Linked DNA regions of Caenorhabditis elegans. The protein of the gene in region 3 interacts with the protein of the main gene of each other region in a pairwise test. Each region holds a gene or a part of one and is shown on either strand. Other genes may lie near its edges.

Region 1 (7,739 bases), on a different chromosome or scaffold from region 3:
TGTGCGCATAGTGTCGATATCGCTCACGCGCATCGCCGCGAACCATTTCTTTTCGGTTTCGGTTTCCAGTTTCGTTGGCGGGTGCACCACAGCGTCGTCGAACATTTCTGGCTGAAAAATGATAAGAGGGGTACGGTATTTAGTAACAACTTTACGTGTTTTATTATTTCACAGACTCAACTTTAATTTTTTTTTTGAATTTTTTGCATCTTTCGTAAGTTTGCCTTGTTAAAACGGTTTCTAATCTGGTGGGAAAAGTAGGAAAAAGCTTCAAAAACCATTTAAAAAAACTACAGTAATTCGTTCCCACTCGCTGCGAGACCCCTCGTCTCGGGAGGTCGCCCTCCTTTAAGTCATTACGGTAGTTTTGATACCAAATATAGACGTAGAGGCTCAATTTTCAAGTTTTCAGTACTATTCTACATAAAAAAATTTAAAATATACATTTAAAAAAGCATGATTAAGTGGGGATTAATAATTTTTTATCCTTTTCACCTCGATAACACCCATTGTGCTGGGCATCTTCTCCCACAGTCCACTTTTCTTCACCGTCTCTGCATCCGGATCCCAAGACGTGTCAAGCTGAGCCATGAGCTCACAATACGCTTCCATAGCTCTCGACCGGCTCATCTGACTATTCGCTAGCCACGAGTTGAACTTTTTGCGCGCGACCGTTTCGAACCAGTAGGGACCTTTTTTCGAGTCTGAAATTGTGTTCTTTTAGTTTCTCAGCTTCAAAATCGTCCATTTTAAATACCTGCTGGACCTTCTACAGCCTGCTTGTAGAGTCCATAGAATTTTAATATAGTTTTCTGATCGATTTTTGTCAGAAACCCCGGCAACCTTGTCGTCGCCGCGTCGAATTTCGCCTCAAGCAGCGTATCGATGGGTTCTTCTTCTTGATTTTCATTTTTTGGATGGTCCTGGAATGAAGAGACTGCCCATGCAATAATCATCTGGAAACTTTGTGTAACTACTGATTTCAGTCGGAAACAAAGAAATATGACCTGGCCTTTTCGATTAAAAATAACCAACTTTAATTCAAAAACAAAGCGAATAATTAAATAGAATCATTCATTTAAAAAGTACAGCAAATTAGTCCACCAAATCCTGGCAACCGGCATTTTGACGGTCTTCCGTCGTCATTTGGGACCATCTTTCAGGTGTGTAGGCGCAGATGGTGAGCGCGTGAGTTTCGTCCATGATTGGAGCAAGAGCAGCTTGGACCAATCTGTAAAATTGGAATAAGTTTATATTTACATTACTTTAGTGCAATCGTTGGGAAAACCAGCTCAGCTTGACTGTGACTTCCTTTAAATTCTTCCGTTTAAATTAATTTCCACGTACGTGGATCCACCCTAAGCTTTCAGCATTTTCAGGCTTACCGGTGAGATTGCAGCGTACACTTGCCCTCAAACGCCTCAGAGACGATGAGAAGCCGAAATTTGTATCCATCGCAGCCTCCGCTCTCGTCGACGACTTTCTGGAAGAAATTTTCGGTTTTTTTAATGAACAACATCAATAAAACTCACCAAAATCTGCGGCTTGATGGCTTCTGTGAGTAGCGCATTGACTCTTTCCACTGGTGATGCCATCTGTCGATTAAAATTTAATTTAGGAACTGAAAATTGAGCAGAAACGAAAATTGGAGAAAACCACACAAAAACCAGATTTTGAAAAAAAAAGTATAAAAATATTTTTTTATTGATTATTCATATATTTCGCATGTTTTTAGTGTATTTCTATAAAGAAAAATAAAGGAATAACTAGTAAAATCAACAGAACAACAAGTAGGTGGGGGAAAATATATGCTTTTGGGACTTTTTGGGGTTTAACAACAAACAAACTTTTTATGTGAAAGGATTCTGAGGTAATTTGTGATCATTAGACATTCAGAAGGGGTTGAAGAAATGGTTATACCAGCGGAACTTGACGGAAAGTGACGAGGGGACAAATTAGGGGATAGGCTCCTATGATTGCAGGATTTCGTGTCATTCGCGGATCGAAATTCAGGGAAAAATCGAAAAAAAGTTTATTGGAAAAGCTTCTCCTGGCGTCTCTTGGTCTCCTCTTCTTCTTGCTTCTTGCGAGCCTCGATCTCAGCGGCATCTGTGGTACGGGGCTTCAGGTTGAGACGTGGACGTTCTGCTGGCGGAGCTGATGGATCTGAAGTTTCCTCGGCTTTGTGTTGTTCTTCGCTCTCGCGACGTTGTCGGTATCCACCGCGATGTCCTCCGCCGCCAAATCCGCCACGACGCTCTCCTTCGTTGAAGCGGCCACCTTCACCGCCACGCCGGAAGCCTCCTGCTCCACGACCACGTCCTCCGCGATCTCCGAAGTTTCCTCCGCGTCCTGAGCAAAATTATTGTTAAAATGAGCGGAGAAAAATAAAATAATAACTGAAATACCTCCACGACCACCTCCGCGGTCACTGCGATCGCGCTGTTGGGCACGATTAACCTTGAGTACGCGATTTCCGAAATCGGCTCCATTAAGGCCACTGATAGCAGTATTCATCTGTTGTTCATTCTCAAAAGTGACATATGCGAATCCCTTGAAACTTCCAGAATCTCTGTCGTGCACAAGATGAATATCGAACTTTTTGAGCTGAAAAAACATTTATTAGAAATTTCCTGCTTTTCCGCAGTACCTCTTCATCTGTGAACTTGCAGTGCTTTAATATAGTTTCGATGTCAGTGGCGATGGAGTCATAGGGGAGCCCACCGATGAATGCCTGTAAAATTCGATATATTTAAAATGCCATTGCTTTGAAGTACCCACTAACCTTAAAAATCTCATCGGCCATTGCTTGAAAAGCTTCCCCAAGTGAGACGTCTTCTGAAATTCATTTAAGTCTTTAAAAACGCACACACGAAAGCTCGAAAATACATATTTGCAAATCAAATTATTTATTTAATTTTTTTCCAACTCTCAGTCCGCAATCTCGCGTGGCATTCGGTGTATTGGCACAGTGCCAGAGAGACGCAGTGCGGCAGAGATGCGTAGCCGCCCCGTTAACATGGCAAGGGGCTCTACGCAGCGCGTAGAGACGCAGACATGTAACGCTTGGCAAGATGCCAAACAAATCGATACGCCCTTTTCAACAGCCGTTAGAGGAGAATGGGCGGCAGTTTGAACGATTTTTATCTCATTTTCAGTGGAATAACTCATAATAATTATTTTAGAGTCAAATTCGTATCGATTGAAGCTTCAAAAATCGAGAAAGCCGACTATATGAAGTCCAAAAGATGATTGTAAGTGTTCACCGTTCAAAATTTTAACTATACATCAAAATTAAAATTCCAGTGCATCGAATGTGGCGGTACCGCGTTCAACAACACGGAACTATGTGAAAACTGCATGGATGTTAACCGTTCTGGCACGATGTCGTTGGATATGGCCCGTCAGGTAGGAAATTTTCGATTTTCCACTATTTTTTTTTCTAAAATCAGAAAATTTGCAGTGTGACATGTCGTCCAGCTGTGGATCGTGCCAAAGAATGATAACTGCAGATTCGAGGCAGTGCACAACTTGTCGGAAGTGAGATTTTGAATTTTCAATTGTTTTTCACCGGATTAAAATACATTTTTTTTGCTTTCCAGAAGCTACCATCTCTCCTGCGACTCTTCCGACGTCTCAAGCCTGAACAATTTCGTCTGCATATCCTGTCGTCGGCGAAGCCAAATGCTGCCGGACGACGTGATGCTTTCAGCCTCCGCACGCCCTTCTCGCGGACAAGACGCACCTCTTTCTCCATTCAGCGACCCCTCAGTTCCCCAGATTTCACTACAAATGCAACCGGCACCTCTGCCGTCCAGTTATCCTAGAAGTCAGGATTTCAACGGGGATGTGTACACCCAAATAGCCGCCATGCAGCAACAACGTCAGCAGCAGCAGCAAAATCAAGTTCAGCAGATGTTGGCCACACAGGCACAGCTTATGGATGAAATTAGCGATGGTGGTGGTACGAATGACAGCGATCGGAATAGTAGTCCATTTTATCAAGAGGCTTCCGACTACGATGAGGATTTCGTGCCTGCTAGGTATGCCGTAGATTAAAATTCCGTGAAATACGAAAATTCGTTTGAAAATCGAATTAAAGCCTTAAAGGAACACCGTAATACCTTGAAGGAAAGGATGCCCCACTAAAAGGGGAGCAGAACGAAAAGGGGAGCTGGCACTGTGCCAAACGCACAAAACGCCTTTTTCTCATTCAACGCACGTTGATTTTTGAAATTTTCTTATAGAAGATACGCTTAACAACACACGTAACATCGGAGCATCGTTGTATCGTTTCCTTCGAGAAAAATAGCGTTTGGCACAGTGCCAGATCCCCTTTTCGTTGCTCTCCTTTTCATATCTCTCCTTTTCGTTTTGCTCCCCTTTTCGTGGGGCCTCCTCAAGGGAAGCACACTTTTACTTGGGTCTCGCCACGACGAGAAATATATTACTGTAAATTTCAAATTTTCGCTGGTGTTCTTTGTTTTTTGGGTCACAAATATAGTTTTCTGGTAGTTTGGCACAAATAATTTTTTAAAAAGTAGTTTTTAACCTAGTAAATTAGAAAAATTCTGAACTTCAGAAAAATTTATCGATACATACCGTATTTCTCTTATTAGTATGACCTCCGTATCAGACTTGCACTCCCTATTAGTGTTGCACTTCATACCCCCTCTGAAAATTAGTATTGCACTCCCCAATAGTCTTGCATATACTTTTGTCCTGCAAATTGGCCTCACTAATTTTAAGATTTCAACTATATTTTATGTTTATTTTGCAATAATTTTTGACAAAGTTCTATGAAATTGGAATTATTGAACCTTTTTTATTGCAATTACAATCAAATTTTCTAAATTTCCAAATAAAATTGGAATTCTTTCATGTAAAAACTAGAAAGTCCCAACTCAGAAAAATGTTCTGAAAATTAGTATGGCACTTCCTAATAGTATTGCAAGCGGGGAGACCTTCGAAAAATATTGCAGCCATATTAATAGAAGAAATAAGGTATTTATAAAAACACTTTTGTTAAATTAAACTTTTGGAAAATTAATATTTTCCAGCACTCGCGGACGTGGACGTGGTGGAGGCGCCAAGAAAAAACCAGGCCGCGGAGGATCCACTGGTACTCGTCGACAAACGAATCCCGGCCCGTCGGGCTTCTTTTCCGCCACACAGCTTCAGGCGATGAGTGGTGATTTCTCCCACCTTCACCAACCGCAACAAACATCATCGACACGTGGAAAGAGGGGAAAACGAGGAAACGGCACGTCGGTGCCACGTCAGCCTGGCAAGGGACCGGGTCGTGGACGTGGCCGTGGGCGCGGTAGTGCAGCCGCCATTGCTCAGCTCGCCCAGCTTCAACAGGTGCAATACGGTGCTCAGGGAGCCCCAATGTTCAATGGTGCCCCACAGCTTCACCCAACCCAACCCACTGTTGCTCCTACTCTTCCACCCAGTGTTACCTATCAAAATGTTGCTCCAACTGCTCCTCCTGCTCCTCCTGCCCTTCAGACCCCTCTTCCCGATCCGCTGCCCTCAATTGTTCCGAGTTTCCAGCAGGCCCCACAGGCGGTCGCAATTCGAGAAGTCGACGAGCTGATGCTCGAGGATGAAAGCTCACGGCAGTCTGGCGGCTCAAGATCTGATGAGCCAGAGTATATTCGTACGGCTATTGTTTGCAGAGTCAATGACGAGTTTTTGCAAAAGGTAAGATTGAAATATGAGTGTCATAAAGGAAATTTAGCTGGAAAAACTATAAAAATTATTTTTTGTGATGAATATTGAGAATATAATTTTAATATCTTTGAAAATTTGAAATTTAGATTATTTTTTTTGAAAGAAGGTTTTGTCGGAAAGTTTTCCAAAAATTGACTGCTAAGCTCAAAAAATCAACGAATTCCCGGTTTTTCAGGCTTGTATGTGCTTAGTATGCGGATCGATTGGAAAAGGGCCCGAAGGATCGATGGTGGCATGCTCAAATTGTGCACAGACGTATCACACGTATTGTGTAACCCTACATGATAAGGTAGGCAGGCGGAATCCCAATTTCTAGACGGAAAATAGAGTTTTCACTTAAAAAAAACTTTTTTCAGTTTCGAGGCATTCTCAAATCTGATTTTTTTTTCTATAAATTTGATTTAATTTCTTTTTCGAAATCCCGGATTAAAAAATTTAGAGTAAACATTTTTTTTCAAAGTGTCTGTCATAGTGTCAATAGTTCACTAGTAAAATCTTTTTTTTCATAGTATCTGATATTATGCAACCAATTTGATGCAAAAAAAAAACAATTTTCTGAAACTATGGAAAAAAATCGTAAAAGTCTAATTTTCAAGCCAATTTTGTAAAATTCAAATTTGATCGATTTTCCAACTGACAAGATACATTCAGAGTAAGAAATTTATGAAAAGCAGGAATAAATATTAAAATAACCAAAATGTTGAGGTGTTTTAAATCTAGTCGCTAATTTCTCAATTTGTGCAGCTCAACTCAGCAGTAGTCGGACGTGGTTGGCGATGCCTTGACTGTACAGTTTGCGAGGGATGTGGAACCGGAGGCGACGAGGCGAATCTGCTACTCTGTGATGAGTGTGATGTCTCGTATCACATTTACTGCATGAAACCCCTACTAGACAAGATTCCCCAAGGACCGTGGAGGTGTCAGTGGTGTTCAAGATGCCGGAGATGCAATCATAAAGCAGCGTCTGGCAATGATTTAACGTCGCAAGGACTGTGTTTCCCGTGTGCTTCACTCCGCAAATGCCCGAGATGTGAACGGAATTATCAATTAAACGAGAAGCTGATTCGGTGTAGCCAGTGCAGCAAGTTCGTGATTTTTTCATGAAAATCCAGAAAAACAGATTTTTATCTCAGTTTTGAACGAAAATTTGAAGTTTGAAGTCAAATACATCAAAATTGTCCGAAATTGTCGAATAATTGTCTAAAAAAGGAATTTTTATTCAGTTGCTAATTTTAAAAATTTTATTTTTGAAAATCTCGAACGAATTAAATTTTTTTATGAATTTCTGTGAATTTTTGTGAAAAATTTAGATTTTTCTTAATAAAAAACAATGAAATATTTTTTTAAAAAACCAAACAAAAATTGTAATTATTCTTAAACATTTTCAGATGGCAACATGGTGCCTGTGAAGGTCTCTACACAGACGAACAGCTCGAGCAAGCAGCAATCGATCGTATGAGATGCTCGGCGTGCCGTCCGAAAAGAGTTCAACCGAGTGGATTCTCTGACGTAGATACTGTATGGTGCGACTACGTGGCACTTGATAAAGATGCTCATGAGATTTTGAAGTCGAAATACACACCGTCCGCTTTGAAGAATCATATGATGGAATCTGTTGGTTATCGAGAATCATTCGATCATTGTGAGTAGGAATAATTGGTGGAAATTCCGCTGACATTTGTCTGAAAATCGGCTGGAAGACGATTCGAAATTTTGTTTGAAATCAGCTTATTTTGTCCAAATTTGTGGATTAAATTTGACAGAAATGTGATGAAAAATTTTGAAACTGGTGAAAAACTGCCCCAATTTGTCTGAAATTGGCGATTCCATGACTCTAAAATCTGAAAATTGGCTGAAAAAGTCAAATTTAGAAAATTTATGAATAATTCAGAAACTTTAAAATCCTGCTGAAAATTCTGTAATTTAAAGTAATTTTTGTAGAATTACTGCGAATCCCGGGAAAAATTATTTTGCTTGCTAAAACCTTTAGCTAAATTTAGCCA
Region 2 (10,786 bases), on a different chromosome or scaffold from region 3:
GCCCGTTTCGAAACTAGTTTTTCCTCGGTTCATCACCATCATGTGATTCGTTTTCCTCCCGCTTTTTCTAGTTTCACCCCTATACTAATTTATCTACAAAATTGTTTGCTAGAATTATGATCCACACTATTAAAAGGTATCATCTTAACGTCTATCTTATTTTCAAAGTCTATGAAATGATAATTCAAATTTTGATATTTTTCAGATGCTTTCGGCACTTCGAACTGCCGGGGCAGTCGGTACTCGCCGTCTTGCTTCGACTCAAGCGATCGCCAGTAACAGCGAGGCACCAAAGGGTATTGCCACCACAGGTAAACTAAAATTTCAAATAATCTCTTTAAAAAATTATTGAAAACTGTTTTATAATTCGGAAATTAATCGGAATGCCAGGCCAGTTCATGACACAAAATTATCCAAACTTTTGTTTCTTTAAAAATTGTTTATTCTTGAGAGTTATGATTCATTCATAACACCAAGATTGTCTCTTGATCAAGAAAAAAATTTTGAATTACCATTGTTGATTGGGAAAAAGTTTAATTTTTATTGTGTATTTCATAGTACACCAAGAAAAAATATTTTTTAAAAATGCGGGAAAACTAAAATTAATTAAATTTTTAGGAATCCCTCTTTCATCGGATCAAAATTCTTCTAAGCTCAGAATGTCTTTTATTTTATTTAATTGAAATCATTTTGTAATTTCAGGAACTCCATTCCTGAATCCATCGTCTAAAGCCGAGTACGCGTTGGCTCGTCTTGATGATGTCCTGAATTTGGCTCAAAGAGGTTCAATTTGGCCACTGACGTTCGGTCTCGCATGTTGTGCTGTCGAAATGATGCACTTCGCTGCGCCAAGATATGATATGGATCGGTACGGAGTCGTTTTCAGAGCCTCTCCCAGACAGGTTAGCTATACTGATCATTTTGAAATAAAAATTGTGTAAAATTAAATTTTTGAGTTGAAATTTTCCCATCAACAACAAAATGTAGTCTTAAAATTCATATTTTCCAAGTTCTAGAATTAATTTGGCAATTATTTCTCAAAACTCGCACCCCTAAATATCAACTCCATAGCATCATTCTCTGGTCAACAAGAAAAAAAATGATATCGTTGTCATGACAAAATTTAGTTTTCAGTCTCTCAGTGTATGCGTTTTCAAAATTTATTCTATCTATTTATCAAAATATTTCAGGCCGATTTGATTTTCGTTGCCGGTACAGTAACCAACAAAATGGCACCTGCACTTCGCCGCATATATGATCAAATGCCAGAAGCAAAATGGGTTATTTCAATGGGATCATGTGCAAACGGAGGAGGATATTATCATTACGCATATTCTGTACTTCGTGGATGTGATCGTGTGATTCCAGTGGACATTTATGTACCAGGATGCCCACCAACTGCTGAGGTATGTGTCGAATTTTTATGATCGCTTTTAAGTTTGCCTCATTTTCAAAAATACCTTGAGTTTTGAATCTTTTTTGGAGAGTCTAGAGTTTGTTTAGTGGCTGGCTTGATGTCAGTATTAGATCTCACGTTATCGTATCAGCACACCACAGCTAATTCATTTTCTCTCATTATCCATATTTATTTGGTCCACCTGTTACACAAAAAACGCACTCAAAATCTGACTGCTCAATTAAGGATAATGAGTGTCCAGATCTCGTGCAGGCTCATTTTCCATTAATTGAGTAACAATTTGTTTCAGTTAATGTCTGAAAATATTCCAAGAAAAGCGTGTTGCTATGTTCAAAAATGAATTTTAATAATTCTATGACGTCATAATATGTACCTCACTATAATCTCGACACCCCATCATTATCAAAACTGTTTTTTTCGGGTTTTTCCGAAAAAGATTTTTGAAAAAAATTTCCCAATTTAAGAATGGTGGGCTAAGGACGGCATGATGTAATCGCGCTCCACGACCGATTGTAAATATTTCGAAAATACGTGGGTGCATGTGTACTCAATTATTGATCGAATTGGCGCGAAAGTCTTGTGTTGTCTACGCTCTCTTGCATACCATTGAGTCTTTATTTCTCTATTTCTGCTTAGTTTCTCAAGCATTCACTAATGAATATTTTGCCGTATCTAATGCAACAACAACTTGGTGTTTTGTTTAAATCTTTAGCTCTTCGAAATACTTTATCACATTCTGACTGTATCAGCGAATTTCTAATACATTTTAAATTAGTGAAATTATCTGAATAGCTTTAAAAATATTCCTAGCCTGCAGTCTTTTCTGAAAATATGTTTCGTCTAATAAAGAAAATAATTTTAATATAAAAAATTATTCCAGGCTCTTCTATACGGAGTTCTCCAACTTCAAAAGAAGATCAAGCGTAAGCGAGAAGCTCAACTTTGGTACAGACGCTAAACAGAACACGAGGCGAAAAGAAAGTACGAGAAAGTTGGAGAACTGTGAAAAAATTCGCAGAAAAATGGTCATTTTGTACGAGTAAGCCCCACTTCATTCATTTTTTGTGTTTCTCCACCTTTTCTCCATTTTCTTTTTTCTAGATCTGATATCGATAGTTTCGTTCGTTTTTTTCTGCGGTTTACTTTTTTTTTCGAATAGTGTCTATTTTTACCTCATGTTTTTTTTGGTTGAAAAAAAGTCGATAACATTTTTTTAAAGTTCTATTTTTTTCTCTCATTTTCTTTGGAACGGTTAACAACGCCGACCCTTTGTGGTTCTCTTTTTATTTATTTATTCATATTTTCACAAAGTCTGTGAATTTTTATATAGTGATTTGAAAGGAGATCACGACGCACTTTATAGCGCCGCCAAGTTTTTTTTTTTGGATTTGGTTTTTGGATTGAAAATAATACAAAAAAAGTCTGTGTGGATTGAAAATTGTATTGCGCAAATTCAAAAACACAAATTTTCTGGCGCCTCTTCTGAAAATTGCTGATCCTTTGTCACGGGCACAAACCTATCGTACACATTGATCTCATTGATTTCCTGAATGAGTTAACGTGAGTACGTTGAAATATTTTTTGCAGGATTTTGCAAAACTGATTCATCAGGTGTGCCCGTGTTTTTTGCGCGATTTTGGTCCATTAACTTCCAAAATTGGGAAATCCACACGGAACCGCGCTTTTCGAAACGCTTTTTAGGGAATAGAAAAGATCACATTTTTCTACTTTTTGTTTGTGATATTTTCACTACTGGACCATTCAAATTCGCCTTAATATCCCTTTTCCGAATCTGCAGTTTTATATTTTTCCGTCGTTTCGAGACACAGCGGAGGATCGGAGGTATTGAAATCAATATGTTACCGAATAATCAATGGCAAATACCTATAAACAATGGATTAACACATCAGGAAAATATGGCAGCACACGTGAGTTATTGGAAAATTATTGACATTTATTAAATAGTTTAAAATTCTTGTATTTTACCCAAGGATTTTTCTGTTCCAATCTGTTATTTTTCAAAAAGTAAAACTGATGGATTCCAAATTTTCAGGCAGCCGTCATGAAATTGAGAGTACACGATCTTCAGGTTAGATACCGTTTTTAATCAATCTTTATTGTTCAATACCTCAACGAGAAGGCGATGTGAATCAAGAATTTATGAATTTCAGTCGATTATCTCGCAATTGTCACTTCGAAAGCCACGTCCACAAAAATCGGAGCATCAGAAGGTCGTCGTTGAATCCTTGCGTGATCCTCATCATGCTCGGCAAATTTATCAAATGGTCATTTGTTTTTCTCGTTATTTTATTTATGTTTTTTTTTAAATGATGTTTTACAGCATTAATTTTCTCGAGTTTACAGGCTTCCAATTTCCCGAACGGAAATTATGAGGTAAGTATGAAAAAGTTAAATACTTTCAGTTAAAAAAAAACTATGTCAACTTTGATTAAATAGATGTGTGAGGTACTTTGGGTAACGTTTACCAGTGTTCTACCTCGGAGGAAATTATTCATTCACCTAGTATTGTCTCTTTACTCACACAATAAGTCTCGCATTTATCTCCACTAGCATCCTCATACCCACCATATATGTAGCCCTTTGTTTCTCTAAGTTTCCTCAAATATTTCATCCATTCTGCACTTGCTTCCTCGCAGCTCCGGCAACGGGACTTTCGCCCGTAATAAGGTGTTAAAAACCTCAAAAGCAGTGGATCTTCGAAAATTTCTTAGTTGTACTTTGCCCTGACCTTCTTTCCATGTTTCATACGTGTAGCTTGGCGCGTAGTTTTTCATTACAATTTTTATTTTACTAGATTGATTCTTTTGAATACTGTCACACTTTTTTGAAAATCAAATTCAAATTTTCACTCCTAAAGAGGTATTTGAGTTTTTTAATAATTGTTTCACTTTGAAAAATCGATATGGAAGCGAATTGGCACGATGTCGCTCGTGAGAAACTGGGAATCGTTTTTTTTTTTGTTGTTATTTCACAACAGTTGATTCGAATGCGCGTAACTATTTAAATCAATCGAATTTTTAGTTGGCTTATTATTGAAATTTTACTAAATTTTAAGAAAGTCCTGTTATCAAAACTCCAAAAAAACGGCTAGGTTTATCAATATATATCATTTCTTCGCAAGCACCTCTCCTGATGACATGTGCGCTCTATTGAGAAACAAACGTTCAAAAAATCTCTTCCGCTTTGTTTTTTATTCCCAAATGTATTTTTGCAAATGTTCTAATTGTCTAAAATATTCCACATATTTAAAGTTAGAGCCTAAAAAATTGTTTGTAAATCGTTTCTGTTTTAATAACTAAATTAAAAAATGTCAGATGCAGAAGCGACCTGCAACAACATCCCAAGTTCGGTCTCATCCATATGTGCTGCCATCTCGATCTGGAGCTAGTAATCACTTGGTCAATCATCATTATCAGCAGCAACAACAACAACAACCACAGCCTCACAATCTACTTCATCAACAAATGATGGCGTCACATCATTCACATCTGCAACAGCAGCACCATCCGTCGACGGTGAGATGGCTAACTCCTGAACTGCTCGAAGAGCAACTGAGGGGCTCGATGAGATACGGCGCTCCCGCTGCTGCTGCTGCTACCAACGCGCCGCTCCATTCATCTTTTCCTAATCATGGACGTTCTTCTCAGCAAAGTTTGCAGAAGTCGGAAAAATCAAATAGGGTGAACATTTTCGCCGCATTTTTATTGCCTGAAATTCACGATAAGAATGAACGCAAGAATATCGAGGCGGAAAGCATGTGAAGATATACTTTCGGTTTATGACCGTAACGGAAAATTTACCTGAAAAAATTACACTGGTAGCTTCTTCTGGGCACATATATCATATTGGCCAGTCGCGGTTATTTGAAAATTCCTCAATCGTGATACATTATGCAAACAAATGTCCTACCGTTTATTGAATGCACTTTTTTGAATTGCGTGTAGCATTCAAAAAAAAGAAAGAAAAATTCGAAGCTCCAAGATTTGCACGCTGTTATCACGAAATTTTCTGCATGATTCCGAATGGCGTAAAAACTAGAACAAGTGTGGTTTTAAGATATTACAGTATGGCATTCTTAGGAGCATGTTCATGAAGAAAAGCTTAATATGATAATCCTCTCTAGGCATTTCTTCATATTGCCGTGCTCAATTTTCAAATAGTTTTATTTCCAATTAGTTCGTAGTAGCATGTAAAAGTGTTTTTTTACTACCAAAAAGCAGGCATCATTAGAAATTGCGCGGCATGTGTTATACAGTTCGCTCACACGAGTTCAATGTTATCACCTGAAAATTGCTTTCAGCGTCTCTTTCTTACATTCCCACATGTCTAACCCATGTATTTTTTTTTCAGCCGAAAAAAATGTATGCTGATAATTTTGAACCGCTTCCACTTCCATTCTACGATGTTATTTCTGTTTTGCTGAAGCCTGTCGAGCTGCATTCATCAGACAGTCCAACTTTGAAGCAAACAAAACAGGTTGGTCTCAATTTACTCGCTCTCCAAGCCGGTTACCTATTAATTACTAATTTCAGTTACAATTCCCGTTCTTATTGACTGCTGAGCACATCTCCAAGATTTCGTATCGAGCTGATGTTACACCTCTTCCACGATATGAATTGCAGTTGAGGTACGTTTTATTATCATTGAAATCGGTTTAAATCCTTGTTTTCAGGTTCTTCAATCTTACTGAACCAGTTCAGGGTCCTCAAAAAGACGACTTTCCACTCAATTGCTACGCACGTGTTGATGATTCTGTCGTTCAATTGCCGGTATGAGATTTGAAACGTTCACGAAATATATTTAATTTCAAAATATCAATTATTGTTAGGAGTTACTATTTCTTCAAATTTCAGAATGTAATCCCAACAAATAAGACAAATGCTGAGCCGAAACGACCATCTCGTCCAGTGAATATCACTTCAAACATGAATAGATACAAGAAAGAGCACACAGTTGCAGTCGAATGGTTAGCCGACAAACGTGTATGGGCAGCTGGAGTTTATTTCGTTCATCGTGTTAACTCGGATATTCTCTTTAAACGTCTTAATCAGAATGTATCAAGACATCGATCACTTGAGGTTACCAAGCAAGAAGTGATCAAGAAACTGTCTGGAGGTGAAGATGATATTGCTATGGATCGTCTTAATATCAGTCTTCTTGATCCACTGTGCAAGACAAGAATGACAACGCCTTCTAGATGCCAAGATTGTACCCATTTGCAATGTTTTGATCTCCTCTCATATTTGATGATGAACGAGAAGAAACCAACGTGGCAGTGCCCTGTTTGCTCGAGTAACTGCCCATATGATAGACTTATTGTTGATGAGTAAGTTTTCAATTCACACTGACTAACTTTGATTTTAAAAAAAAGCGAATTATCTCAATTCTATGTTTTCATTATTTTTCTATTAACTCTTAGATACCGTTCCCTCACTTCGAAATTTCCAATTCTTGTGAAGACACTATTATTTTTCCAAACACAATTGTTATCTATAGCGATGGACAACACCCTTAAAATAGCCATGATGAAACGGTGATTAGGAAATTCGGAAACGCGTCGTCTAAAATAGGCATGTATTTGCAAATATAGTCTACGATTATTATCAGTAGTTCGTATTGGTCTCCAACTCAAAATTCAGCTCATGACGTAAGAGAACATGAAACAAATGGCAAAGGTCAATCATCATAATTGAGCAAGAGTTTTAATGTGTAATTGAAAATTATTATTATTCAGAAATTCAAAATCCCTGTAAATAATTCTCAATCAATTAATAATCCAAATAGTGTTCTCACTCTTATGTTTACCATGATCCAGATTCATATTGTGAACAGTGCATCATGGACAAACAACAAATTCGATGGCTAACTTCATGCAGTTTTGTGTGAAGCTGTCTGTTCGCACTATTCGCTCGTTTTCTTAATTGGAAAATACTTTTTAGTCACGGAAATGCCTGAGAAACTGCTTAGACGTTACCCAATTCAACATTTTATTTAAGAAATATTCAAATATCAAAATAAAAAGCAATGTTCTGAGACTATGCAAATATTGTTTCATCTTTCAGTTATTTCCTCGATATGCTTGCAAAGGTGGATAAGAATACGACGGAAGTTGAACTTAAGGAAGATGGCTCGTACGATGTTATCAAGGAAGAAGCTTTTTGCATCTCAGATGATGACGACGATGACGTTGTACCTGCTACTGTTAACGGTACAGCGTCATGCTCTTCGACAAATGGCAATGGACTTGCAAATGAAGCAGCGAAGAAAAAACCAGCTGACGACGACATAATTACCTTGAGTGATGACGATGATGAGGAATTGAACAGAGGTATAATGAACTCTCTGAACGACAGCTTCTCTCCTGGCAGACACACAGGTTTGCTATTCAAATGGCGTGGTGTGAGACAAGCTGAGAATATTGCAGTTTCTAGCAATATCAATTAAAAGTATTCACTTGAAATTCAAATCTTATTTCAGCTTCCGCAGAATTGGCTGCTCAAAAGACACCACCACAGCAGAAAAAGAAGACGAAAGACGATGACATAGAGATTATTACTCTCGATGATACACCACCTCGTCCAGTAGCTGCAAGTGCAAATCTTCCAATGCGTCAGATGTCTCAACAGAATCAAATGCCAGTTGGCTCATCTCCATCTGGAATGGCCTCAACGCAAATGGGAATGAACGAGGGTGCAAGTAAAACTATCCGGGATGCGCTGAACAAAATAGGAGAAGTAAGTTCAGAAAAACACAAATCTTCAAAAGAGCCAATATTGTTAGTTATTTTCCATAGTTTTAAGAGGATTTGTTCTTAATTTGACTGAAATCAGTATTCTAGTTATAACTTATCCGTTTTTAACCAAAACTAATACAAAGATTGAATTATATATTTGATTATATTATTATATGATATTGTTAAACTAACATCTGCTTCTCCCTGTCCACACTCACTAAACTGTCTGTTTGTTGCAGCAGTCAGCAAATTCATCAACACAATCATCTCCGCTTGTTCAACTTCACCATACGACACATCCATTGAATTTTGCTCAATCATCTTATATGAATCCCTCTTCAGGATCTCAAACACCTACATCACAATACGGATATTCGGTATGCCAGCACGTGTTAATAGTCTACCACACGCACTAATACTCTAGTGATATTTTTTCATAACGACAGAACAAAAAAATCCTGTTTTAATCTCTTTTTTTTCTTTGTTCAAGCCCCTATTAATTGGATAAGATACTTAGATGATTGTCCACTGCACTAGAATTCTGTCGAATTGAAAAAAATGCACTAGTTTTACGTCTGGAATTATAAACTTAACAAATATTTTTCAAAATTTTTTAAAAATTGAACTCTCGTTTTCAGCCAATGATAAACCAGGCACCACACTTCCAAATGCAAAACGGGCTCATAGGGCGAAACAATCAAATGGTTCATATGCAGCAGCACCATCTTCAGCAGCAACAACAGCAGCAGCAGTCACCACAAATCATGTCTCCGTCTTTTTATGCTCAACAGCAAATGTCAAACGGTAATTTTTTGTACACCTTACAAAGTTTTTGTATATTATGTTTAAACATCAAAACAATCACTTCACGATCTTCAGTTAATAGCGAGTAAACTTGTTGTGTAATTGCAACCATCCTGCATGCAAATATATATTTATTTCCCTTACTTGGTTTGGCCTCACTTTCAGGTGACACCAATAACATCCAACCACCACGAATTCTTTCCATGGCTGAAATACAAGCAAATGCATCTCGACTTTTGGTAAATGGACACCTGATGATCGATCACTCAGGAGTCACTATGCGCAATCCACGTGGCTCACGGAATTAATGCATGAATTGTATTTTTTGTGCCGTCTAGTTCATTTGATTTATGTGCATCTTTTACCCATATCCACGATTTACAATTTTTAACAGAATCCTGCTTGTGCTTTAGTCTAGTAAGTTATATTTGTCTGCATTATACGGCTGATTCGATGAACTTTAACTAGAATTTTGTGACGGTAATGTTTTTGTTAAATGAAGCTGAGTATCCTGTATGCAATCTTTTAAATACAATTGAAAAACACAATCCACTAATTTTAGATTTTTATTTAAAAATTAGATTTTCAATATTCAAAGTTTCAGGTGGTGCATTTGCATATTATCCTCCACAATACCCGCAGCAGCAGTATCGTCAGAATTGATTGATTTCCAATCATACTGCTTAATCTCATTCTTTTGTTTTTTTTTTGAGTTAATTTGGCTTTAATTTAATGTTCGGAACTTCAACCGACCCAATCAAATATCTCACATTTCTCTCCGTGATTTTTGTTCAATATGTTTTAATTTTCAAATCGAGCCCCCAAATCGTGTTTCTAGTTTTCCATCCATTTCATCCGATGTTTTTCCACAGCCGTGAAAATGCACAAGTGGCCTAGAAATTGTAAGAATCTAGGCCATGCGGCTTTCCTGATACCATATTTTTTTCCATTTAAATGGATGCATTTGTTCTCCAATGAATCGATTTATTTATACATATTTGTTTTAAAGAACAAATAATCAATTATAATAATTAGACCGGGGTGGCGAAATGGGAACATTTTTGAGAGAAAAAACTACCGAATCAGTGAGAAGACTAGGGGGAAAAATACAGGGAGAAATCACAAGAGAGAGAGACAAAAATGAAAGAATGAAAAATAAAATAAATATAGGAAAAATAAAAACAAATAAAAAATGAGAGAAGAATACCCGCATTTTATGTTTTTTTCTTCAGAACATGAAAATATCAAAATTTTTTGGATTTTTGTCTTTATGCATACGGGCTCCATCGAAAATTAACAATTGAGCACGTTTGCAGAGATAAATTTAAAAAAAAAGAAGAGGAGCAATACGTGGAATGTCGGAGAGGAAGTTTTATGTCTTGAATCACAAAAATTTCGAAATAAAACAACGCTCTAATGCAAAATTACGGTAAACGGTCTCGACACGATCGGCATACCAAATGAGATGCACGGGGAAGACCTTTAAAGAGTACTGTAGTGTTGCACTCCACTTCGACAACAGGGCGAAACGTGAGGAAAATGGGGGAAATTCAAGTAAACGAGAAAAACATGTGGAGCGAGAGACTACAGTAATCCTTGAACACGGGCAGACCGCGTACCGTATTTCTGGGTCGGAAATTGCACAAAAATATTTTCAAAATAGTAAAATTCTGCGAACTCCGGAATGAATTACAAATAGTTGCAAAAAGGAGCGTCGTCTCATCTCTTAATTAAACAATAGTGACAGACAGCTAAAAATAAAAATTTAACAAGAAGTTATCAAGTCAATTGCTGTGGTCTCCACTCTGTTG
Region 3 (7,591 bases):
AGTAGCTTCTCCTCCTCAAAATCTCTGCACAGATTTCATTTGCGTTGTCTAGGAGAAAAAGTGACGAAGAAGAAGAAGACGAAGAAGGCATTGAAACTTGTAAAGCTTCGAGAAATAGTGTTGAGGAGTGAGAGAGTGCAGAGAGAGAGGTGAGTAAAAGGGAAATGAGCAAATGAGCACATGTGTGTGTGAGCAATTTGATGCTTTTTTCATAATCGAAAGTGTCAGTTTTCGAATCGGAAGTTACGAGAAATTGGCGACTTGTGAAGTTTGTTATTCAGAAATAAGTTTGAATGAAAAATACGTATTTTCTTCTATTATACATGCGCGAAATTTTGCGATTTTTGTGCCCCGATCTCAACACGACAAAATTTTGTGTCATGTGTGCGCCTTTAAAGAGTACTGTAATTTCAAATTCTTGTAGGTGCTGAATTTTTAGTGTTTTTTTCTAAGTACGTATTCTCTCACTATTAGTTAAAAATTCTCTATTTTTTATTGTTTTATTAAATCTGTTTCTGTCAAAAAATATGAAAATTCAATAAAAAAAAGTTTGAAACTACAGTACTCTTTAAAGGCGCACATCTTTTTGCATTTAGCAACAACATTTGTCGGGTCGAGACCGGGCACCGTATTTTTCCTGAAAATTGCATAATTTTGCGTCAGAGTAATATTTAGTTTTTTCGTGTTTATTTTAATGTGAAAGAAAAGTTGAATATAAAATTATTTTTTAAATGGTTTTTCAAATTTTTTAAATAAATCCGAAAAACTGCAAATCCTTTTTTACTCGAGGAGTACACGAGTCGCGTAAATCGACACAGGACACAATTGGTGGCCGAGGTTTCTAGGTCATCGGTCAAAAGAGAAGCCCTTCCACTGAGAGCTCACAGAGCACAAACTTAAAAAATAACTTTTTACACGTTTCTAATTAATCCCTCATGGCTTCCCCCAGTATCAATTTTACTATAACCTTCATATAGTATATCAGGATTAATTCCAAATTGTAAGAGGTCAAAACATAATCCGGTTAGTCAGTCTAGACAGGTTGAAGATTTTTTTTTTCAGAAAAGTACAGAAGGATCTTTCGTCAATATAGTGAGAATTTGAACATCTTGGGAATTTGAAATTCGAAAAAATGCACGTGGCCGAGTTATCCCTTGTCGCGGCCACACATCGCCCCAAAATTGAGGACGATTTCTTTCAAATGCTCCTTAAAATGAGCCAACTCAAGAACGAAGTCAATGACGTGGTACTAATGTCGGTTTATTTTGTCGAATTTTTTTCGGATGAGAGGCATGACTCATAGGAGCAGAGCCAGAATTTTTCCAAAAAAAAACTTCTCCTCGGGGAGTACACGGATCAGAGAGCTTGAAAATCAAGTTTTATACTTTTATTAAATCAATTAATTACCAGCGTGAACATTCAAAATTTTGATTTTAAAATATTCCATAGAATTCAAATTTCTCGTGGCAAATGTGGAACCTATTCGACATTTGAATTTATTTCCGAATATTTTTCTCCGAAAAATCAATCGATAAATGGATATCAAAGTGATTCGCGAGAAGTTGACCCTGACAACGTCGATTACGGTGGGTTCCGCGCGAAATTTCTATTCGGAAAAAGTTCAAGTGATTTTTTTTCAGAGCGAATCGGTCGCCGAATACGAGCACGATGTCGACGAATGTTGTCGCCTTCTGGAGCACAAGCTCGAGCTGGAAATGGAGAAGAAGCTGCAACTGAGCAATCGGATCGATGTCGTTCAGTCGCAGGTCACCGAACTTTGGGATCGCGTGGATAAGGCGAGACGTCGCGAATCGGACATCTCGTGTCGCGTCACCGCCTGGGCTCAGCATTTGTCGGAGATGATGAATGAGGTATTACATAGTCGTCAAAAAATTATGTGGGTCTCACCACGCTGTGAACGAGGTACTGTAACTCGTGTCGATTTACGGGCACTAACCTATAAAAAGAACCACTAAATTTTGAGAATGGGTATTGCGCAACGTATCTGACGCGCAAAATATCCCGTAGCGAAAACTACAGTAATTCGTTAAATGACTACTGTAGCGCTGGTCCGATTCTGAAAATCAAAAAAAACTTCCGAATTTTCCGAGAAATGTTTCCGAAAATAAAAAAAAGCCCGTAAATCGACATCCGTGCTACAGTAGTCATTTAAAGAATTACTGTAGTTTTCGCTACGAGATACTTTGCCCGTCAGATATGTTGCATAATACGCATTCTCAGCATTTAGTGTTTTTGTAATAGCGACCCGTGAATTATCACAATGAAAAGTAACCTTTTGTCCGCGTGACGAGACCATGCGCGTAAGATATGGCGAAAACTAATATTATATGCAATTTTTTGTTCAGGTGAAGCTGAAAAAGGCTAAGATGGGCACAACGATGGAAATATCCGCGACACTTTCTGCTGAAATTCAAGAAAGTCTGGATTTACTCGCGGAAAAGCGAGTGATTGTTCAGAGAATGCGGGAGGAAATCGACTATCGTCGCCACTTGCACAAGGTTTTTATTAATAAATCTGAAAATGTTTAAAGCAATATTGAAACATTTTCAGCAACAACTCAAAGATTTGAAGCTGGATTGTGACAGAGAGGAGGAGAAATGCGAATATTGGAATGATAAAAGCGCTGAAATCGAAAAAGTTGTGGAAATGCTCAAAGAGCAACGCAAATCGCTTGGCGAACGTGTTGAAGAGGAGAAACGAATGGAGCAGGAGCAGAAGAAGATGCTGGAAGAGCTTGAAATGTTGTTGAAGAAAACTGGGAAGAAACGGCAGATTTTAGATGAAAACGCCAATTTGGTGGCTTCTTTCTCCAGTTTGACCGAGGAAAGCTCTTAATTTTTATGTTTTTTTCTTCAAAAGCATTTTTTTTGTGTGTTTTTTCCTCAAAATAAATCATTTTTAATTGTTTTAAAACATGTTTTTGAAATTAATCGTCAATAACGAAAGTTGCGTCAGCTACCACTGCTAGCGCGTTTCTCGTGTTGCTTGCGCTTTTCTCGATGGCAGCGAATTTTAAATTTAAATATTTAAATTTTCGTTTTTCCTGCCTAAATTTACTTGTTTTTCACCATTTTTCTTGTGAGTTTATCAACTTTTCAGGTAAAAAATGAACAGAAATCGCAAAGGACACGATTTAGAAAACATTGAGCATCGATTCACCGATGAGGACTTGGCAGGTCTGAAGGAGCAAAAGCTTTTTAATGGTAAATGGATTATTTTGGAGAAAAAGGAGAAACGAGGAGCCGCGTATTGTTATCTTGTGTGTGACAAGCCGTGCAAGAAATTTGTGAGTTATTAAAAAAAATTAAATTTAAAAAAAAAAAAAGTAAAAAAAAAATTATTATTCGAATTTTCAGGGGATTCTTTACTTGGAAATCGGCGAGGACAACGTGACAACCATCGCGAATCAAGTAGATTTCTATCATCAGCAATCGTCACTTGGCTATTCTCATCGATTTTCCGCTTTAATTGATGCCGGAATCATAAATAATCACGTCTTCTTCATGGTCGTCAGAATCCGTGCAGGACCCACTTTACATGATCTTTTAAAATGTCTGAGCAGTGATAAAATGTCCGTAACTACTGCCAGTTTCCTCGCTGTCGACATGATTTCTGCTATCGAAATTCTGTCAGCTTCCGGATGGGTTTTGAGAAATTTCGACTCGAAACAATGGATGTTGGATATCAAAACGAGGCAGTTTTATTTGGCCGATGCTACTGATGTACGGACTATGTTTCCGCTTTTAAAATAACAATTTCCACTAAAAAATTGCAAGAAAAATCGCGATTTTCAGCAACTTTTCACCTAGAAAACGCATTTTTTCGGAATTACACGAAAAAACCAATTTTCTTAAAAATTCACCTAAAAAATCTCGATTTCCAGCATTTTTTCACCTGAAAAGCGTATTTTCTTGGAATTGTACAAAAATCGCCGATTTTTAGCAATGTTTTCACATAAAAAACTTAATTTTTTGGATTTATACAACAAGAAACCCCGATTTTCAGTAATTTTCCTGAAATTCGCCCGAAAAATCTAAATTTTCAGCAATTTTCACCGAAAAAGCGTATTTTCTTCGTATTATACAAAAATCTGTGATTTTTAGCAATGTTTTCACATAAAAAACGTATTTTCTCGGTAAATCCACAAAAAACCAATTTTCAGTTATTTTTCTTGAAATTTGCCCGAAAAATCTCAATTTCCAGCAATTTTTACCTAATGGGGTTATTCAAGTAGTGTCGGAAAATTAAAAAGTGTAGAAAAATTACGTCACAACCTTATTCAAGTAGATAAAAACATGTATTTAAATACATTTGTGACGTCACAAATGTATTTAAATACATTTTGCTACATTACTTGAATAACCCCATAAAAATTTGAAATTTTTGGGAAAAATGAATAAAAGTCCCAGAATCGTCTGAAAATCAACATTGTTGGTTTCAAAAACTCCGCAAAACAGCGAGTTTCTTTAGAAAAATTATTAAAAACATATACTTCGTCAAAAAAAAACAATTTCTACTGAAAAAAACTAAAAATCGCAATTTTCAGTCGAAATTCGAGTTTATTTTTTCGATTTTATTTTTTTATTAATCAAATTTTTGATTTCTTGGAAGAAATTTCGGTTTCAGACTCTTAAAATAAACAATTTATGCATTTAAAACCCCAGATTCTCGTTAAAAATCGATTTTTCTCATACTAAAATTCCAAAAATTTGCAGATCACCGTCTCCTCTGACAAACGTCACCGTGCCATCGACGAGATTCATCTCAGAACAGCCGAATCTATAGATTTGCATTGGAAAACCGGAGATTTGATCTACGCGCCGCGCTCTTTTGTCGATCGAGATCAATCTCATCGAATGACTGAATTGGATATGATGGAAATGATGCTCTATGTGCTCTACGATTGGACACATGGAAAATTGCCGTGGAAATCGTCGAAATCCAGAGAAAGAATTATGGAAATGAAGGAATTGTTCATTGAAAATTTGCAAAAAGAGCCGGAAGAAACGAATAAAGTCGAGCAGCAAATTGATGTTGATGTTTGGTTCGATATCGCGTATGGATTTTGGAAAATTTAGCAAAAAAATGAGATTTTCATGGAAATTCATCCAAAAAATCGGGATTTTCAGTGATTTTTCTTCCTTTAAGAATGATTTTTGCTAATTACATTTTTAAAAAATCACGATTTTTAGCTATTTTTCATTTAAAAAATCATTTTCTTGCTAATTATTCAAAAAATTCAAATTTTCAGTGATTTTTCACCAAAAAAAGTAGAAAAAAGTAGATTTCTTGCAATTTACACAAAAAATCTCGATTGATAGCAATTTTCACCTAAACACAAAACAAATAATTATCCCAAAAATCCAGAATTTTAGCATTTTTCCTAAATACTAAAAATCATTTTTCTTGCAATTTTTATAAAAAATCGTCTTCTAATTTTTTTCACTCAAAAAATAAAATATTTTCCTGAAATTATCCCGAAAAGCCCCGATTTTCAGCTATTTTTCATCGAAAAAAAATCTAATTTTTATGAAAATTCACCCAAAAAACCCCGATTTTCAGCGATTTTTCACAAAAAAAGAATACAATTTTCTTCAAAATAACCCGAAAGGTTTCAATTTTCAGCATTTTTTTATGGAAAAAAACTAATTCACCCTTTTTTTTTTCACGAAAAATCAATTTTTTTAGAAATTCACCCAAAAATCCAGATTTTCAGCATTTGTTCTTCTAAAAAATATTTTTCTTGCAATTTACATAAAAAATCACTTTTTTTAAAAGCAATTTTTCACTTAAAAAAATAAAAATTTATTGTAAACCAGCCGTGGACCGCACCTTCGGCGCAGCCCCCGACTTCTGGGGCTGAAAACTAATTTTTCTGAAACTACCGTAATCATACAGTACTCCTACCGTACCACTATTGTACCACTACAGTACCCCGACTATATCCCTACACTAAGCCCAACTCACTATCCTCCAGAAGCCAAAACGTCACAGAATACAAAGACTACATAGACTACAAACTATGGACAAACGGAATAAGCGCTTTATATATAGTAAATGATTACCTGAAATATTTAGATTTTAAGCAATTTTTCCGAAAAATTGAATTTTCCTGCAGCATTTTCCATTTTAGCAGTTTTTTTTTAACGGTAAAAATGTCAATTTTCAGACTCCGAAACTTTGCAAAACATCTGAAAGTGGCAAAAGAAGAGCAAGAAAAGCTTGAAAAACTGCCGGTTCGTGGTGGAGCATGGTGTCCAAAGGGTCCACGTGCTGGAGCACAAATTTCGACTGTAAATCGATATTTTCTGGAATTTTTGAGCTAAAATTTCGTATTTTTCAGGTGAATTATCGTGGAATCATTGACGATTTCTACAAAATTGTGTGCAGCGGACGACCGGCTTGGGCTCTTCATTGGCGGGATGTAATGCTCGATTGGGACCGGAAACTGGAGAATACGGTACGATTTGGGATTCAATTTTTTGCGGAAAATTGGCCAAATTAGCGAGAATTGCCAAAAATGGATTTTTTGAGAGAAAAAAATAGTTTTTTTTCGTTTAAAATTGAATTTTTCACAAAAATGTAATTTTTTTTGTTGAAAAATTGAGAAAAAAAACTTTCCGTGAAAATGTCCAATTATTCATGAAAAATTGAGTTTTTCATATAAAATTGAACTTTTTGTAAAAAAAATTGAATTTTTTATGAAAAAAAAATTATTTGTCATCGGAAAAATAAATTTTTTTTTTGTTGGAAAATTTACTTTTTAGTGAAATATTTGAAAAAAAAACAAGTTTTCTGTGGGAAAATTGAATCGTTAACAAAAAAAAAATTTTCATGGAAAATGTAATTTTTAGTGGAAAAATTGAATTTTTCGTAAAAAATATTGGTATTTATTGAAGAATAACAATGTTCGTTAAAAAAAATTTAAGTGGAAAAAATTGAAAAAATCGAGTTTTTTGTTTAAAATTGAATTTTTCACAAAAATATAATTTTTAGTAAAAAAAAATTGAAAAAAAAACAAAAATTGAGATTTTAGCTGAAAATATTTTTTTACAAAGTCTGAAAAATGTTCAAAACGCCCTTTTACGAAATACAGTAGTTTTGGGCTATTTTTGGATACCCACCTGCAAATTCAGTTTTTTTTTCAAAATTTTCTTCTAAAATAATAATTAATTTCAGCCAGAAACATCGAAAATGTTCGAAGCCTACGAAAAACACCAGAGATCTCTCGAAATTTCGGAAGAATGGGAACGTCTACAAGCGACTCGCGAACATTATACAGTGATGAAAAATCACACAGAAACGGAAATGGCAAAGAATCAGGCGGCAATTGTTGAGTATTTGATGCCAGAAGAAGAAGCTAAAGAGGAACCTATTGATAAGAAGAAAGATCCAGAAGAAGAAGCAGCAGCAGCTGTTGTAGGGAAGAAAAGAAGAGGAAGAAAGCCTAAAAAGAAGGATGATCCGAAAATGGAATTGAAGGATGAAGTGAAAGATTTGAAAGATTTCGTGGTTGAAGGTATACAAGTTACAGAATTTTCAAAAAGTCGGCTTCATATGAGCGGCAAAC

Evidence for each region. The genes of interacting proteins can lie anywhere in the genome.
Region 1: the proteins of prde-1 (region 3) and set-16 interact in a two-hybrid assay, tested with the Caenorhabditis elegans proteins (one large-scale study listed by BioGRID).
Region 2: the proteins of prde-1 (region 3) and gei-17 interact in a two-hybrid assay, tested with the Caenorhabditis elegans proteins (one large-scale study listed by BioGRID).

What each region holds. Positions count from the first base shown.
Region 1 is NC_003281.10:13,640,733-13,648,471, forward strand, and holds the start of set-16 (PHD-type domain-containing protein), read left to right. Parts: upstream 1-3,183; 5' UTR 3,184-3,248; coding exon 3,249-3,254; intron 3,255-3,306; coding exon 3,307-3,408; intron 3,409-3,463; coding exon 3,464-3,540; intron 3,541-3,602; coding exon 3,603-4,043; intron 4,044-5,060; coding exon 5,061-5,706; intron 5,707-5,911; coding exon 5,912-6,025; intron 6,026-6,480; coding exon 6,481-6,821; intron 6,822-7,124; coding exon 7,125-7,378; intron 7,379-7,739. Other genes in the region: acbp-5 (Acyl-CoA-binding domain-containing protein 6), read right to left, coding at 1-111, 496-704, 758-956; T12D8.10 (BolA family protein), read right to left, coding at 1,096-1,231, 1,386-1,483, 1,533-1,595; drr-2 (RRM domain-containing protein), read right to left, coding at 2,033-2,352, 2,409-2,607, 2,651-2,734, 2,786-2,806.
Region 2 is NC_003279.8:9,100,027-9,110,812, reverse strand, and holds gei-17 (E3 SUMO-protein ligase gei-17), read left to right. Parts: upstream 1-3,230; 5' UTR 3,231-3,273; coding exon 3,274-3,345; intron 3,346-3,470; coding exon 3,471-3,506; intron 3,507-3,588; coding exon 3,589-3,702; intron 3,703-3,781; coding exon 3,782-3,811; exon of another isoform or gene 3,812-3,825; intron 3,826-4,115; exon of another isoform or gene 4,116-4,213; intron 4,214-4,493; exon of another isoform or gene 4,494-4,706; intron 4,707-4,752; coding exon 4,753-5,118; intron 5,119-5,788; coding exon 5,789-5,914; intron 5,915-5,970; coding exon 5,971-6,065; intron 6,066-6,110; coding exon 6,111-6,207; intron 6,208-6,291; coding exon 6,292-6,764; intron 6,765-7,500; coding exon 7,501-7,814; intron 7,815-7,915; coding exon 7,916-8,172; intron 8,173-8,410; coding exon 8,411-8,548; intron 8,549-8,809; coding exon 8,810-8,975; intron 8,976-9,140; coding exon of another isoform or gene 9,141-9,283; exon of another isoform or gene 9,284-9,490; intron 9,491-9,579; coding exon 9,580-9,638; 3' UTR 9,639-9,967; downstream 9,968-10,786. Other genes in the region: nduf-7 (putative NADH dehydrogenase [ubiquinone] iron-sulfur protein 7, mitochondrial), read left to right, coding at 206-311, 703-902, 1,191-1,406, 2,298-2,375; mef-2 (MEF2 transcription factor homolog), read right to left, coding at 10,755-10,786. UniProt on the Caenorhabditis elegans protein: Functions as an E3-type smo-1 ligase. Mediates smo-1 conjugation to air-2 in vitro and is required for proper chromosome alignment.
Region 3 is NC_003283.11:15,535,131-15,542,721, forward strand, and holds the start of prde-1 (piRNA biogenesis factor prde-1), read left to right. Parts: upstream 1-3,113; 5' UTR 3,114-3,127; coding exon 3,128-3,307; intron 3,308-3,377; coding exon 3,378-3,743; intron 3,744-4,736; coding exon 4,737-5,077; intron 5,078-6,190; coding exon 6,191-6,314; intron 6,315-6,364; coding exon 6,365-6,481; intron 6,482-7,200; coding exon 7,201-7,540; intron 7,541-7,591. Other genes in the region: F21A3.4 (Trichohyalin-like), read left to right, coding at 1,536-1,586, 1,641-1,871, 2,367-2,519, 2,572-2,856. UniProt on the Caenorhabditis elegans protein: Nuclear factor required for the production of piwi-interacting RNA (piRNA) precursors. Specifically required for piRNAs produced from loci associated with the Ruby motif. Promotes binding of the transcription factor snpc-4 at piRNA genomic clusters.